2 linked regions of the Arabidopsis thaliana genome follow. The protein of the gene in region 2 interacts with the protein of the main gene of each other region in a biochemical or structural test. Each region holds a gene or a part of one and is shown on either strand. Other genes may lie near its edges.

Region 1 (7,073 bases), 5.2 Mb from region 2:
GAAAGTATGGGAAGATTTAAAGAAAGAAGAGGTTTTGTTTGATCAACATACATTTGGAGACCTTGTTCGAGGGTTCTTGGATAATGAACTTCCTTTAGAAGCAATGAGATTGTATGGAGAGATGAGAGAGTCTCCTGACCGGCCTTTATCTCTGCCTTTTCGAGTTATTTTGAAAGGACTCGTTCCTTATCCTGAGTTGAGAGAGAAAGTTAAAGATGATTTCTTGGAGCTTTTCCCTGGAATGATTGTATACGATCCTCCTGAGGATATATGTGAAGATAGTGATGAAGAAGCAAGAACAGATAGCGATCTTGAATAGAGAGGTATGTCTTGAATCAATGCTTGGTTTGGACTGTTTAGTTAGTGCTCAAAATGTCAGTGATGATATTATCCTCGAGGCTGACCCGATGTATCTTCGATCCATAGTTTCTCTTGTTCTGCACATCCACTAACTTCAGGAACCATGTCCCAGTTTCAGGTTAGATCAAGTGGGAAAACAAATGGAAGATTGTGGCTATGCAGAAACTGGAACTATTCGTCTTTGGTAGGAACAAATTATGGCTATTGAAAACTGAAGATGATGAGGAGCATATGAAGAAGAATTTGAGAAGCTTATAAGCGTATATATGTGTAAAGATCACTCTCAGCAATGCTAAATGCTGCTGTATTGAATCGGTTCAAGATAAGTCATATGTTTGTGAAGATACATACAGCAGAAAGCGTTTTAAGGGACAAAACTATTAGAAGTGGATTAAGTTTTGGTCGATCTTGTCTTTTTGGGATAGTGATGGGTCTGTTTGGGCCAGACTAGGTCTTTTGGAGTAATAGCATTCTCTCTTTTCTTTTCGTCTTTTCCATCCCAAAAGTACAAAATTTCGACGCAAATACTTAAAAATTAGCAAGGAAGATATACATACAACCAAAAAATGGTCCAAATTGTCAAAAAGGTTGTCAAATAAAAAGAATAGATCAAAAAAGCTTTACTATCATTATAATAGGAATAGGAATTTCGCATAACAATAGAACAACACAAAAGGATACACACCACAACATCAAACGCTTGTTCATCAATCGGAACATGTTTCATATGTTCCAAGTATACCGAGAACCATAGATTATACATATTATAAGCTGTTTAACGATTATAAATATAATGAAATAAACGTTTTAAAGGATCGATCAAAGCATGGTGGAGGAGATGTGATCCATTGGGAAAGGATTGCCCAAGACATTATCCATGAAGTAATGGTGAGGATGTGTTGCGTCCATTACTACAAACTGCATGTCCTCCGACGGCTTCCAATGCCGTTTCCTCTGGTTTATGAACCAATTGTTTATCTGTTTCTGGTCCAGCCCCGTTGATTCCGCAAGGGCGAGCTTTTGTTGCTCCTGCAATTTCATATCACATGCGAGAAAAAATCAATCATCAAGTGTTCTCTCCGATATAAGGTCAGTCCATGATCACAGCTACATCACGATTTGCTAGATTGTAAGGAGAACTTAGAATCCATCTACTCATACGAACATGGGTAATGACACTATACAAGTGTAATAAAGACATGAGCTACTATTGCATTAGGGTATGGCCTCATGCACCCTACTTTCCAAAGTTATGACTTGAAATATGTGCAACAAAGTTTAGTCTAAGTTATGGTACACAGCCATAAGATGAAATTGATCGTAGTCTTGACTAAGATTGACATATTATTCGGACCCTAAAAAAGGTATGGAAGCAAGAATCAAGTTTGTCATCGGCTAATAGACCAAAACAGTACACATAGACTAAATAAGTTCACTTCATTCAGCTTTTAGGATTTCAAATTATGCAAATGCATATTGTGCAATGCCAACATGAGCTAACATAAACTAATGTCCCTAACGATATAGTATGAATGCAAAAATCACTAAAAACATTGAAACAAGCTAATAGACAACTAAATTGAATTTGCTATCATATAAATGCTTTTTTAAAAACATGAAATGATTATTTAATTAGAGTATAAGGGAAGAGAGTTACCGAAGGGTAAGGCCATTTGTAGTGACGGCTCCACCAATCAAGCAGTTGTTGACGAGCTTCTTTAGGGAGCTTTCCTTTCTTCCTCTTCTTCATGAACTCTTGCTTGAGGCTCCCTAAGTAACCACTGTACTTGCGCAAGAGCTGTCCTTTAAGCTCTCTATCCTCAGCTTGTGGATCTACAAATTCATTGTTCATATCGACTTCTTCCTCGGATGACCCATTATTGTTCCTATCAATTGCTGTCTCTCCATAACCTTATATTGATTAAACATGTGAAAGCAAGACAAATTTGTCAACAAGAACATGTGTCTAGGGAAATGAAAAAGAATAGGCTAGTGATCCAAATAATTCAAAGTAACATGTTAAGTAGATGTGAGTTTGTGTGTCTATATAAACTTAACTACATTCTTGAAAAGAAGAGTGATATGACATTGTGTAGATATATGTATATGTGATTATACGTACAAAAACATGTGTATGTCTAAATTGAGCAATAGATCTAAGGACGAGCAGACTCTAGATCCAGATATTCTTTTTGATGCATTTGAATTAAATAGATCCAAAACAAACGGAGAAGAAAGAGACAAGAACAGTGATTGTTGTTGTACCAAAGCAAATGAATTCAATTCCAAACAAAACAAAAAAACAGTAAACAAACTGTTTTAATTCAATGAAAACAACTACATACACTAACTTATGTATAGATAGATTATACACGTAAACCTAGTAAGCTATATATAACAATCTGACACTAACCCTAGTAACAACCATCAAAGGGGTATTTACCCAAGAAAAATCAGAAAAAGGAAAATCTTTCTTAAAACCCACAAAGAAAAAAAACAACTTTCCTCATCTTACGTTTAATTTGACGCCATAATTAACAAGAATATGAATTAAAAAGAAAGAAAAAAAAACAGAGAACTAGAGAGAGAGGAGAGAGTAACCGGAGAAAGAGGAAGGTGAGGATAGAGAGAGGGATTTGAATTGACACTCGACACGTTGAAGGAAGACCATAGCTTCCTTGAAAGGTTTGGAGAGCTCTTGCTCATACTTAACGAGCATTTCACAGTAAGCTTCCATGAATTGATCAAGCCCTGGATCTTCACCTAGACATCCTGTTGGTCCCATAGATGCGGCAGCGGCTGCGGCAGACGAGCATGCCTCCTCTAGCCTCGCCACAACCTCCGGTGGTGCTCCAACCTTAAGAAATTGTGTAATTAGTAAATGATAGACATAAAAACGTTAATTGAACTAAGATAAGGATCCTCACGTTTATTGTGGATATATAATATAGTAAAGAAAAAAATGAAATAATTATATATGTCCTAATCTTCAAGCCTACATACAATATTTTGGATAATCTCTTGCAAGTAGGGTTTTTACAAATTGTTTCTTGAAACTTTCTCAATATAGGAAAAATTGTATCCTTTGATTTGTATATACTTAGCTGGGTTAAGTAACTAGTAAACAAAAGTAGATATCAAAATCAAACTCAGACATCAAGTAAAGGGTTATGTAAAAAGGAAATAAAAGGTAAAGTTTGGTAATTAGGGTTTCTAGAATCTTTCTCTTCTTTTTTGTGCAAGAAAATCAAATAAGAATCATTAGAGTTACGAAGAAACTTTCAAAGTAATTTTTTCAAGTTTCTTTCTCTCATCACCTTCTGACAATTGACATAAGCGGCCAAGAGGCGGTGGTAGTGAGGATGAGCCATGATCTTGGCCTTGACAGAGGCTGAAGAAGAGGAAGAGGAGCAAGGGTTGATTCCTCCTGCAACGATTTCGTTATGATGGATCTCCATTAGAGAATAGGCAGGAGCACAAGAGGAAGGAGAAGAAGAAGAAGCAACTTTGTTCTTAGTTCCTTGGGGAGGAGCTAGTGATTGAAGAAAAAGGGAACTACTTTGTTGGTGGTGTGACTGATATGCATAACCATCATGTTCTTGTTGTTGATGTTGATGATCATGACCATGATGTTGATGTGATGTCATGATGGGCGGCATCATCATCATCATAGGACACATCGGACCATCACTATTATCCCCGGCAAAAGCCATTGGACAAGAAGTGCTGTTGGAACCACTCTCCATCTTCTCTTTCTCTCACTAGTATTATTATTCACTTTGGCTTTGCTATATAGCTATGAGAAATAAAAAATGAAAATAACATAAAGAAAAAAAAAGAGGAGCCCCCATTGTAAATACAGCTAGCATTTATCATCAATATCATGAAACACATTAAAGTACTATAAATTTATTGGGAAACCCTAAAAGAGTAAGTAACTGTGTGTGTGTATCTATGGTTTAATTTAATTATTTGAAAATGCAAAAGTGGTCTCCCGGGATTTATGCTTCAACAATCAGCTTCCTTTTCCACATTGAAAATTCTAAATAGTGATAGTTATGGGGGAGAGGGAAGCAGCAGAAGAGAGACCAGGAAGATAAATCTAAGGAAATTATTATAAATAGGAAATAACTTTTTAGGAGAAACTTATTTTAAAAAAGTGTAAAAAGCAGACATGGACAGAGGTTGTGTGATCTGTGGGTTCTTAACTCTTTTGTGTTCTTCTGCTGAAATATGATTTCTCATTTATGCCTTTTCGGAAATTAATGTTGTAATTTCTCTTCTTCTTTTTTGAGGTAATAAACCGGATCTCAATTTATTTTTGACAATTTCTTGAAATGGAGAAAACCGGAATGTGCCTCGGAAAGTCCAGTGAAAGATATATTGGAATTTGTTATTTCTTTACCATGGGTCGGGAGTATCAAATCGAATGTTGTCATTTGGTTTTGGTTTTCATACCATGAATTCCCAAAAGTCTAAGTTTCCTGATGGGATATACGTATGCTGATGTTGGTTTAAAAAGTACATTTGTGTATATGTATATATGTATATTATATGGTATGTGAAGATATTATTAGGACTGTTGTACTCAAAAACTTTCTTAGATTCTCTCAATAATTAACCGATAGATCTCCATATAGTATAATTTACGCATTTGTTTCAGTAACATATATTGGATTCGCTTTTGTCAATAGGAAAAGATAGCAGTCTTAGTAATTTTATAATAAGTGATCTAACATTTGATTGCAATCAAAGTTTTAATACTATTGTAAATGTTCTTATGGGAAAAAAATGTTGTTAAGAAGAAGAAAAATGTCATAAATATAATCATAGAGTAAAACATGTAACTGTTTATTTGTTATATAAACGAAAATATTAAACACACATTTTACCTTAAAAAAAAAGTATCTTGTATTCTGTATTGTTTTTAAAAAGTGACAACTGATGGCTTGTTATATTAGACAACAATGAACCATTTGTATTTGCCACCATTATCATGTTCTCGACCTTTTTGGTCGATTGATTGTAATATTAGATGGTAGACCTCTTGCCACTTGAAAAAATAACCAATCACATTCAGACCACTAACCAAATCTATCGAGGCATTTTAATTAGAATAATATACGAGGCTATTAACAATTGTTAGCACTTCTTCGAACGTAGAATTGACTCAACATAGGACACATGTTACTATCAAGAGAATAAGCATGGGACACCTGTACCTGTTTATCCCTGAAAATAGTATACAGACTTGAGAAAAATTCATTTACGATTGACAAAGTAATTCATCAATTGTCAATTTGGAGGATTGTACGAAGGAAAATGATATTATGCATGTTACTTTAATACACAACGAAAGAAATGTATAATTTTACTTTAAATTTAATTGTCTAGTTCAATACTGTGGGAAAAAAAGAAAAACAATACAATTAAAATTATCAAAATTGATAAGTACATTACATCAGTGCCGTTTATTCGATCAACATTTCACTAGCCGTATGTATTGCTAATTTTGTTATCACTATTCGAAATATTATTTAGAAGTTGGATATACTATATATTCCCATACTCGTATGTCTATGTTTATAAGTAAACTATATAAAAATAAATATGTTAAAAAAAAGTAAAGACCAGTATAAAGCTAATTTTTCTTGCTTTTAGGTTAAGGACAGTGATTCGTTGAAATCAAAAGTCTTAGAAAAATATTGAAGAGAGAAATCTTCAAGGCAAAGTTTTACTTTCCCCATGAAAGAAGAAAAAAAACTCTCTCCTCAGCCACTGCCTTCACTGCCATTTCTGGCAAAGAAAAGATAACTGAGAAACTAATAGATAGAGAGAGATTACAAGGAACCCATCAAATCATATTTATATATTACCAAACTGGATTTTATTTCATTTGCTTCAAATTATGATTTATATATACCCTAAAATATATTTTTTTAAAAAATCTTCATTTAGTTATCCAAAATATGTTGGATCTGGACTAAAAAGAAGAAAAGAAGTGATTTTTCTCTTCTTTTTTTTTTTATTTTTTTTTTCTTTGTCTCCTACGCTCATAGAATTTTAAAATCGAAGTAATAAGTTCTCTTTTTTATGATGACAAAAAAAAAAGTTCTCTTTTTATCAATAATAAGATTTTAACCACAACAAATTAGGATAAACAAAATTAGGATAACGTAAAAAAAAAAAAGGATAACATAGCAAAATATTAGATATAAATATTTTTGCATATGTTTTCCTTATGAACTTTAAATAAATTTTAAATACAATAATTAACTTATAGGTAAATATTAATCAATGTTTTGTCAATTATCTCTAGTTGTTATTTTTAATTGCGCTGCGTTTTCGTTTAAGAAGTTATTATACTGTTTTCGACAATATGATTAATGATTTATGCGATTTTGGGAAGTGATGCACTTGCAAAACTTATATATATATCACACTATTTAAATATATATCACTTTTCATATTATTGAAAACGAACGTATATCTCTATAATAGTAGGACAAATAATCTGAAAGTAGTAGGGATTGGAAAGAGTATGAAAAGACATCATTACTAAAAAGCCATTTTGGATGTATATTCATTACATAACCGAAAGCAATTCTACTAAACAAACTTATTTCTTCAGTTTTGCAGTTTCTACTGAATATATTAGTTGGATCAACTTTTACCAAAGCAATACAATTTTATTCTTTTGCCATGGAACCAAA
Region 2 (6,498 bases):
ATAGAGACTTGAGTGTAACGCAAAACTCATATTAATCTGTGAACTGTAGTATTACTATTTACCTGGGAACATCTAATTAACCGTACCATAAACTCTTACTTTGTTGCCATTTACATGTAGTTTAACCAGATTGCTCTTGAAAATAGGAAAAACTCATGTGGTTAAACGGTCCGACTATTTATGATTAACAACTGCGATTAATTATATCTTAAGGATATTAATTATTATTAGCTGTCATACCATATAGCTAGGTGTACAAAAAGCTTTTTGTCCAAACAAAAGCTGTTGATTTCTTACTCGTCATTTCCTCATTTAGCACTATCATCATCACTCATCATCGATTCATCATCTTCTTCAAATTATATACTCACGATATGTATAATATTATTATTCATAAGAATACTCATCATAAATAGCTTTAGAAAACCACATTCATTTAACCTATTTTAGAAAGTTAAAAATATTTGATCCTTTCAAACTTTCCCACTGTATATACTCCCATATTCAACCAGCTGTGTGTAGGGTTTATCAGTTGTACATTTAAAAACAAACAAATAATCTACTCATAAATATATAAAATTTCATAAAAAAAGAATTTGTTGTAACACATTGATTCTCCTTGAAAGGTTTGTGTCGGCTGTTCCAATCTATGACAAAACCGAAACTCAACCAAAAACAAAAAAAAACATTAAAGAATAAAAGAAATAAACGAAATATACAGAAATTGAAATAAGAATAACATTTATTAAGATGGACACAAAGCCGTTAGCTTCGTTCCGTTAAGGAACGTCTCTACGAAACAAATTGGCGTCCAAGTCTTTCGTTTTTGGCCACTTTCACCAACTTCGCGTCCGACACAGCTACCTTATTTATTTCATTTTTCATCATCTTCTTTCGAATTCTACTTTTTCTATTATTTATTACACAACCTCCTTAGATCCTTTGGGACATGGAATCGACCCATCATAACTTTTCTTTTCATTTTATTGTTTTGCGTATAAATACATTTTCTTCATGTAGGTCAAATGAATCACTTGATTATTTAAGAAAATATGTTTATTTGTTAGTCAACTAATTGGATTTTTTCGTTCCAAGTAAGGAAATTGGGTAGTCACCAACTGGTTGTTAAGGTCCTTTAATCCCTCAATTAAGCAATTGAGCAGACACAACACTTCTTCCTCAAAGCAACATTTCTGGCAAATCAAAATTCTCTAGGCCTAGGGATACTTTAGTAATTTTAATTACTTTATATTCAATATATTGATTTGTTGACAATTCTACTTATATCTTTATTTTTAATATGTAAATAATAGGAAGATATTGAAAAAATGGAGTTAATTAGTTTCCTCTTTTGCACGTCACTTAATAAGAGTATGTGTGTCCAATGTATTACGCGAAGAAACAAGTATATAACGTATAAACAGTAGGAGACCTCAAAAGATGTTTAATTTTAATTTTGATCACAATCTTTTTAGAGAGTTCCGTCGTTATAATAATTTAACAATTATACATCAAAACATCATAGATTAGTTATGAAGTATCATGTCACGTAACACATGTTTCTCGTTCGCTTATAACCAGGGATCTGCAATTATGTAAAGAAATTAATAAAAGCATCTGTTGGTTCAGACTAACCCATGATTTTATCATCACAACCACAACTAATTTGAGATTGCTTGAGTTAATTTAATCTAACAAAGCTTTGGTGGAAAATTTTAATAGTAAAAAATTTCAACGGTTGCTTGAATTTATGTCCAAGCTATTAATTAAACTTTATAAAAACATAGAATACGAAAACTCAACTCTTTTCTTCATTTTAAAAAACATACTTTATTTTTAATTATATTTATTTGAATATAAGCACCAAGTCAAGTCAATGACAACACTGCACAGTATTCCTTCTGGTTCCAATAATATTCTTTTGTTTTATCAGATAACTTGAAATATAAATGCATATAAAAAGTCGCATTTGTATAAATATTCTCCATTATCTAACAATAATCCTATCAGAGAAAAGGAAAAAAAATATGAAAATTTCCGCTCACGCGTGTTATTCTCTAAATGGTTGGCACAGAAAAAAAACCAACAAAAAATTATTAATTTTAATATAGAAGCTTCGGTTGGAATAGAAAAACAAACAAAAAAGAATTACTGGTAGAGAATAGAGATTGTCAAATTTCTCCATAGGTTAGTGATACACTGATATTTTATTAAACATTAATTAAAAAATCTGGGTTTGTTGTCGAGGTTCCAATGATAAGATGGTTTGGTTCTGTTCTTTGTTAGTGAATGCCAAATAAAGTTTTAAAATAGTATCGGAATTTAATAAAAATCGTCTCTTGGGATTGGGTGTCTTCTCTTTCTTTCTCTCTCTTTTTGTCATCGACTGTTCGAAGTTCTTCTTCTTCTCCCTTTTTATCTCTCTGTTCCCTGATTCAGCCACATCCACAATCTCTCTTTCTCTTTTGTATAGTTTATCATCTAGCTCTTTCTCAGGTTTCATTTCTTTAACTATAATAATTCGATTGTTCTTATTAGTAGCTTCTTGATTCAAAGCTATATGATTGACTTGTTGTACTCTGTTTCTCTTTTTACAAAAAGATTTCCTTTTTCGAATTTTATCATCATCTTCGTCTCTGTTAAATTCTTACAAAAGTATGAAATCATCAGAACTTAAAAAAAATTAACTTTATATCTTTCATGATTTCAAACATCATCCTCTGTTTTTGTTTGCGTCACTGAATTGAAGTGGAAACTTTACCTAGGGTTTTGATATCTTCTTGACCTAAATTGAGTATTTCATATTTTTTTCATTTCTTGAATTCATCTGTAATTGCGGCGTATATAGAGATTAAGATGTTTTAACCTCTTTAAAGAATTGTTCTTTTATTTATCCAGTTTCAGTTTCAAACTCACACGTCTCTCTCTCTCTCTTTCTCTTTTTTCAGACAAAACATCAATCGGATGAAACTCACTTAAACAACAAAACACTTTCGATTTATTATCCAATGGCTGTGTATTACCCTAATAGTGTCGGCATGCAATCTCTTTACCAAGAATCCATTTACCTCAACGAACAACAACAACAACAACAACAAGCTTCTTCTTCCTCTGCTGCATCTTTCTCCGAGATTGTTTCCGGTGATGTTCGAAACAACGAGATGGTATTTATCCCACCAACAAGCGACGTAGCCGTCAACGGAAACGTAACGGTGTCAAGTAACGATCTAAGCTTTCACGGTGGAGGACTTTCTTTAAGTCTTGGTAATCAGATCCAGTCAGCTGTCTCTGTTTCTCCGTTTCAGTATCATTACCAGAATCTTTCGAACCAATTGAGTTACAATAATCTTAATCCTTCTACTATGTCTGATGAGAATGGGAAGAGCTTGAGTGTTCATCAGCATCACTCTGATCAAATTTTACCTTCCTCTGTTTACAACAACAATGGTAATAATGGTGTTGGATTCTACAACAATTACCGTTACGAGACATCAGGGTTTGTGAGTAGTGTACTGAGATCTCGTTACCTTAAACCAACACAACAATTGCTTGATGAAGTTGTTAGTGTAAGGAAAGATTTGAAATTGGGGAATAAGAAGATGAAGAATGATAAAGGTCAAGACTTTCACAATGGGTCTAGTGATAACATTACAGAAGATGATAAATCTCAATCGCAGGAGTTGTCTCCTTCAGAACGTCAGGAGCTACAGAGCAAGAAGAGCAAGCTTTTAACAATGGTGGATGAGGTAAGACTAAATCAAATTTGAATACTTTAAAGTGAGAGAGAGACTTTGGAGTTTTGAGTTTTGAAAACATTTTTGCAGGTAGATAAAAGGTATAACCAATACCATCATCAAATGGAAGCTTTAGCATCGTCTTTCGAGATGGTAACAGGTCTTGGAGCAGCTAAGCCTTACACATCCGTAGCTCTGAATAGAATCTCTCGCCATTTCCGCTGTTTACGCGACGCGATAAAAGAACAGATTCAGGTGATCAGAGGGAAGCTTGGGGAGAGAGAGACTTCTGATGAACAAGGAGAGAGGATACCGCGTCTTAGGTACTTAGATCAACGGTTGAGACAACAGAGAGCTTTGCATCAACAACTTGGAATGGTTAGACCAGCTTGGAGACCACAAAGAGGCTTACCTGAAAACTCTGTCTCTATACTTCGAGCTTGGCTCTTTGAGCATTTCCTTCATCCGTAAGTTTGTTGTTTGTAAGACACTTTCTTTCTGCTCCTCATTGCTTCATTGATAACCATTTCAATCGTTTTTGTAGATATCCTAAAGAATCAGAGAAAATCATGCTTTCAAAGCAGACAGGACTATCGAAAAACCAGGTTCTTATTGGCTCAATCTTTGGTCTTGCTTTTATATGAGTGGTATTCTGATTCTTGGCAATTTAGGTTGCAAATTGGTTTATTAACGCGAGAGTTCGACTATGGAAACCAATGATTGAAGAGATGTATAAAGAAGAGTTTGGAGAATCAGCAGAGTTACTCTCTAACTCTAATCAAGACACCAAAAAAATGCAGGAAACATCTCAGCTCAAACACGAAGACTCTTCGTCTTCGCAACAACAGAATCAGGGAAACAACAACAACAACATCCCATATACATCTGATGCAGAACAAAACCTAGTCTTTGCAGATCCTAAACCAGACCGTGCTACTACTGGAGATTACGACAGCTTGATGAACTATCATGGGTTTGGTATTGATGATTACAATCGTTACGTTGGCCTTGGAAACCAACAAGATGGCAGATATTCTAATCCCCATCAATTACACGACTTTGTTGTCTAAAAGATTCCTGAGCTTTTCACAAGCTTAAGAACTGGCAATGCCAGTTGATTGGGGGAGTATGATTCTTGAAGCGCAAGAAAATGCGCTCTTGGCATTTTTATAGATAGGGGTTATACAAATATGTATATCTGTAATATTTGTTGTGGCATATATAAAGGATAGATTTTGTGAAAACTTTAGGTGTTAGACTTTACATTTGTATATGAAAATTGAGCTTTGTGTACACTTTGGTAAGCCGATATTGTAATGTTTTTGTTTATAATCTTCATGATGGTATAAACAATACTTTTAAGTGTGAACAAACTGAAAAAGATTTGATCTAATTTCCTCATTTTGTTACAAGAATTGGAACAGATTTTGAGTTCCTCTGAAACTTGTGTAAACAACGAAACGTTACACAACTTTTTAAACATTCTCTGTAAATGGTTGGCAAATTCTCAAATCTTTTCTAAAATGACAAGTTTGTTTCATTACTGAAAATTATCCCCACAGGTTACAATGAAACACACAAAATATCCAAAAAGAAAGTTAAAACACAGCTCTAAAGGCTATAGCTGAACCTGAATATCTGTTTTATACAAAGCTTTCCTAAATAACCCGCATGCCTCTGATCCAGATGGAGGGGTTTCATCATAGCGGAGATGTCTGATTAAGTCCCTGAAATGTGTGTATTATTGGTTATTTACAGGAATGTTTCATTTCTCTAGCAAATCAGGATTGAATATTCAGTGTATGGATCTTTACCTCTATGCTTGAAGAAGACCGGTTATTTCGATGTCTAGACCAGAATCCCTTCTTCAATGCAGAGTCTTTGGACGAGGGTTTATTCCACTTGGAGCTGATAGAAGCAAAGTGCCATTTCAAGAATGACTTATTAGACGAGCTCTTGCTACTGCAACTAGCTTCCAGCTTGAGAGCTTTGCCTTCTCGTTTCCCCATTTTCTGGAATACAAACTCATCGCATTCACTCTCACCGTAACTATCTACCACACGGTTTTTACATCTTTTGTACTGCTTTGCCTTTGCTTCCGCCTCCGCTTTTAGGGCTTTCCTTGTTATTTTCGCAACCCGTTTCTCCCCAATTGTGCATATGGGACAAGCAGGATCATACTTCTCTATATCAGTAGTCATGGTCTCTAAGCACTCTGCGTGGTAAACATGACCACAGGCAAGAACAGCAGCGATTGGGAGCTCAAAAGTGGCTATAGAAGACCTCTCGGTTAGCAACTTTGAACAAGCTCCACAAACCTGCTGATCAACAACGGAAGGGGAGAATGAGAATCTGCTGCTACCACCACTTAGTTTCCGTCTGCCAGAACCCAAGTGTTCGCTATCAAAGGACCATCTATCCCTTTGAGAATATGCCACGAGCTCAGAAAAAGTGTTCATAGACCAGCCACCTTCAGAAGATGCGTACTGGGATCCAGTGGCGAAGTCATTGCTACAGGTCGAAAGCACAAAGGACGACCTTCCTTCTGAGATTGAGTAATTATTAATTGGGGATTTCAGTCCTAAAATTTGACTATCAGAAACCTGCCTAAACAACTGATGCCCAGGTGAACGCCGAGCCCGTCTTGATGGTGTGGATTTAGGAGGAAGCAAACGCGTGTGAGCCGATGAAAGATCACTAACTGGATTGGGAAGAGAAGGCGTGGAGAACAAAGGCTTCGATTGAGCTGAAGGGACAATTCCAG

The links. Proteins that work in one complex are often made in the same cells at the same time.
Region 1: the proteins of BLH3 (region 2) and STM form a complex in vitro, tested with the Arabidopsis thaliana proteins (one study listed by BioGRID).

The regions. Positions count from the first base shown.
Region 1 is NC_003070.9:23,057,617-23,064,689, forward strand, and holds STM (KNOX/ELK homeobox transcription factor), read right to left. Parts: upstream 4,448-7,073; 5' UTR 4,107-4,447; coding exon 3,678-4,106; intron 3,218-3,677; coding exon 2,962-3,217; intron 2,272-2,961; coding exon 2,018-2,271; intron 1,390-2,017; coding exon 1,180-1,389; 3' UTR 966-1,179; downstream 1-965. Other genes in the region: AT1G62350 (Pentatricopeptide repeat (PPR) superfamily protein), read left to right, coding at 1-319. UniProt on the Arabidopsis thaliana protein: Required for shoot apical meristem (SAM) formation during embryogenesis. Negatively regulates ASYMMETRIC LEAVES1 (AS1) and ASYMMETRIC LEAVES2 (AS2 or LBD6). Probably binds to the DNA sequence 5'-TGAC-3'. Binds to RNA.
Region 2 is NC_003070.9:28,298,401-28,304,898, reverse strand, and holds BLH3 (BEL1-like homeodomain 3), read left to right. Parts: upstream 1-2,170; 5' UTR 2,171-2,496; exon of another isoform or gene 2,497-2,948; 5' UTR 2,949-3,008; coding exon 3,009-3,746; intron 3,747-3,824; coding exon 3,825-4,201; intron 4,202-4,278; coding exon 4,279-4,339; coding exon of another isoform or gene 4,340-4,378; exon of another isoform or gene 4,379-4,405; coding exon 4,406-4,804; 3' UTR 4,805-5,113; downstream 5,114-6,498. Other genes in the region: AT1G75400 (RING/U-box superfamily protein), read right to left, coding at 5,435-5,461, 5,549-6,498. UniProt on the Arabidopsis thaliana protein: Transcription factor that is responsive of the nuclear import of SHOOT MERISTEMLESS (STM).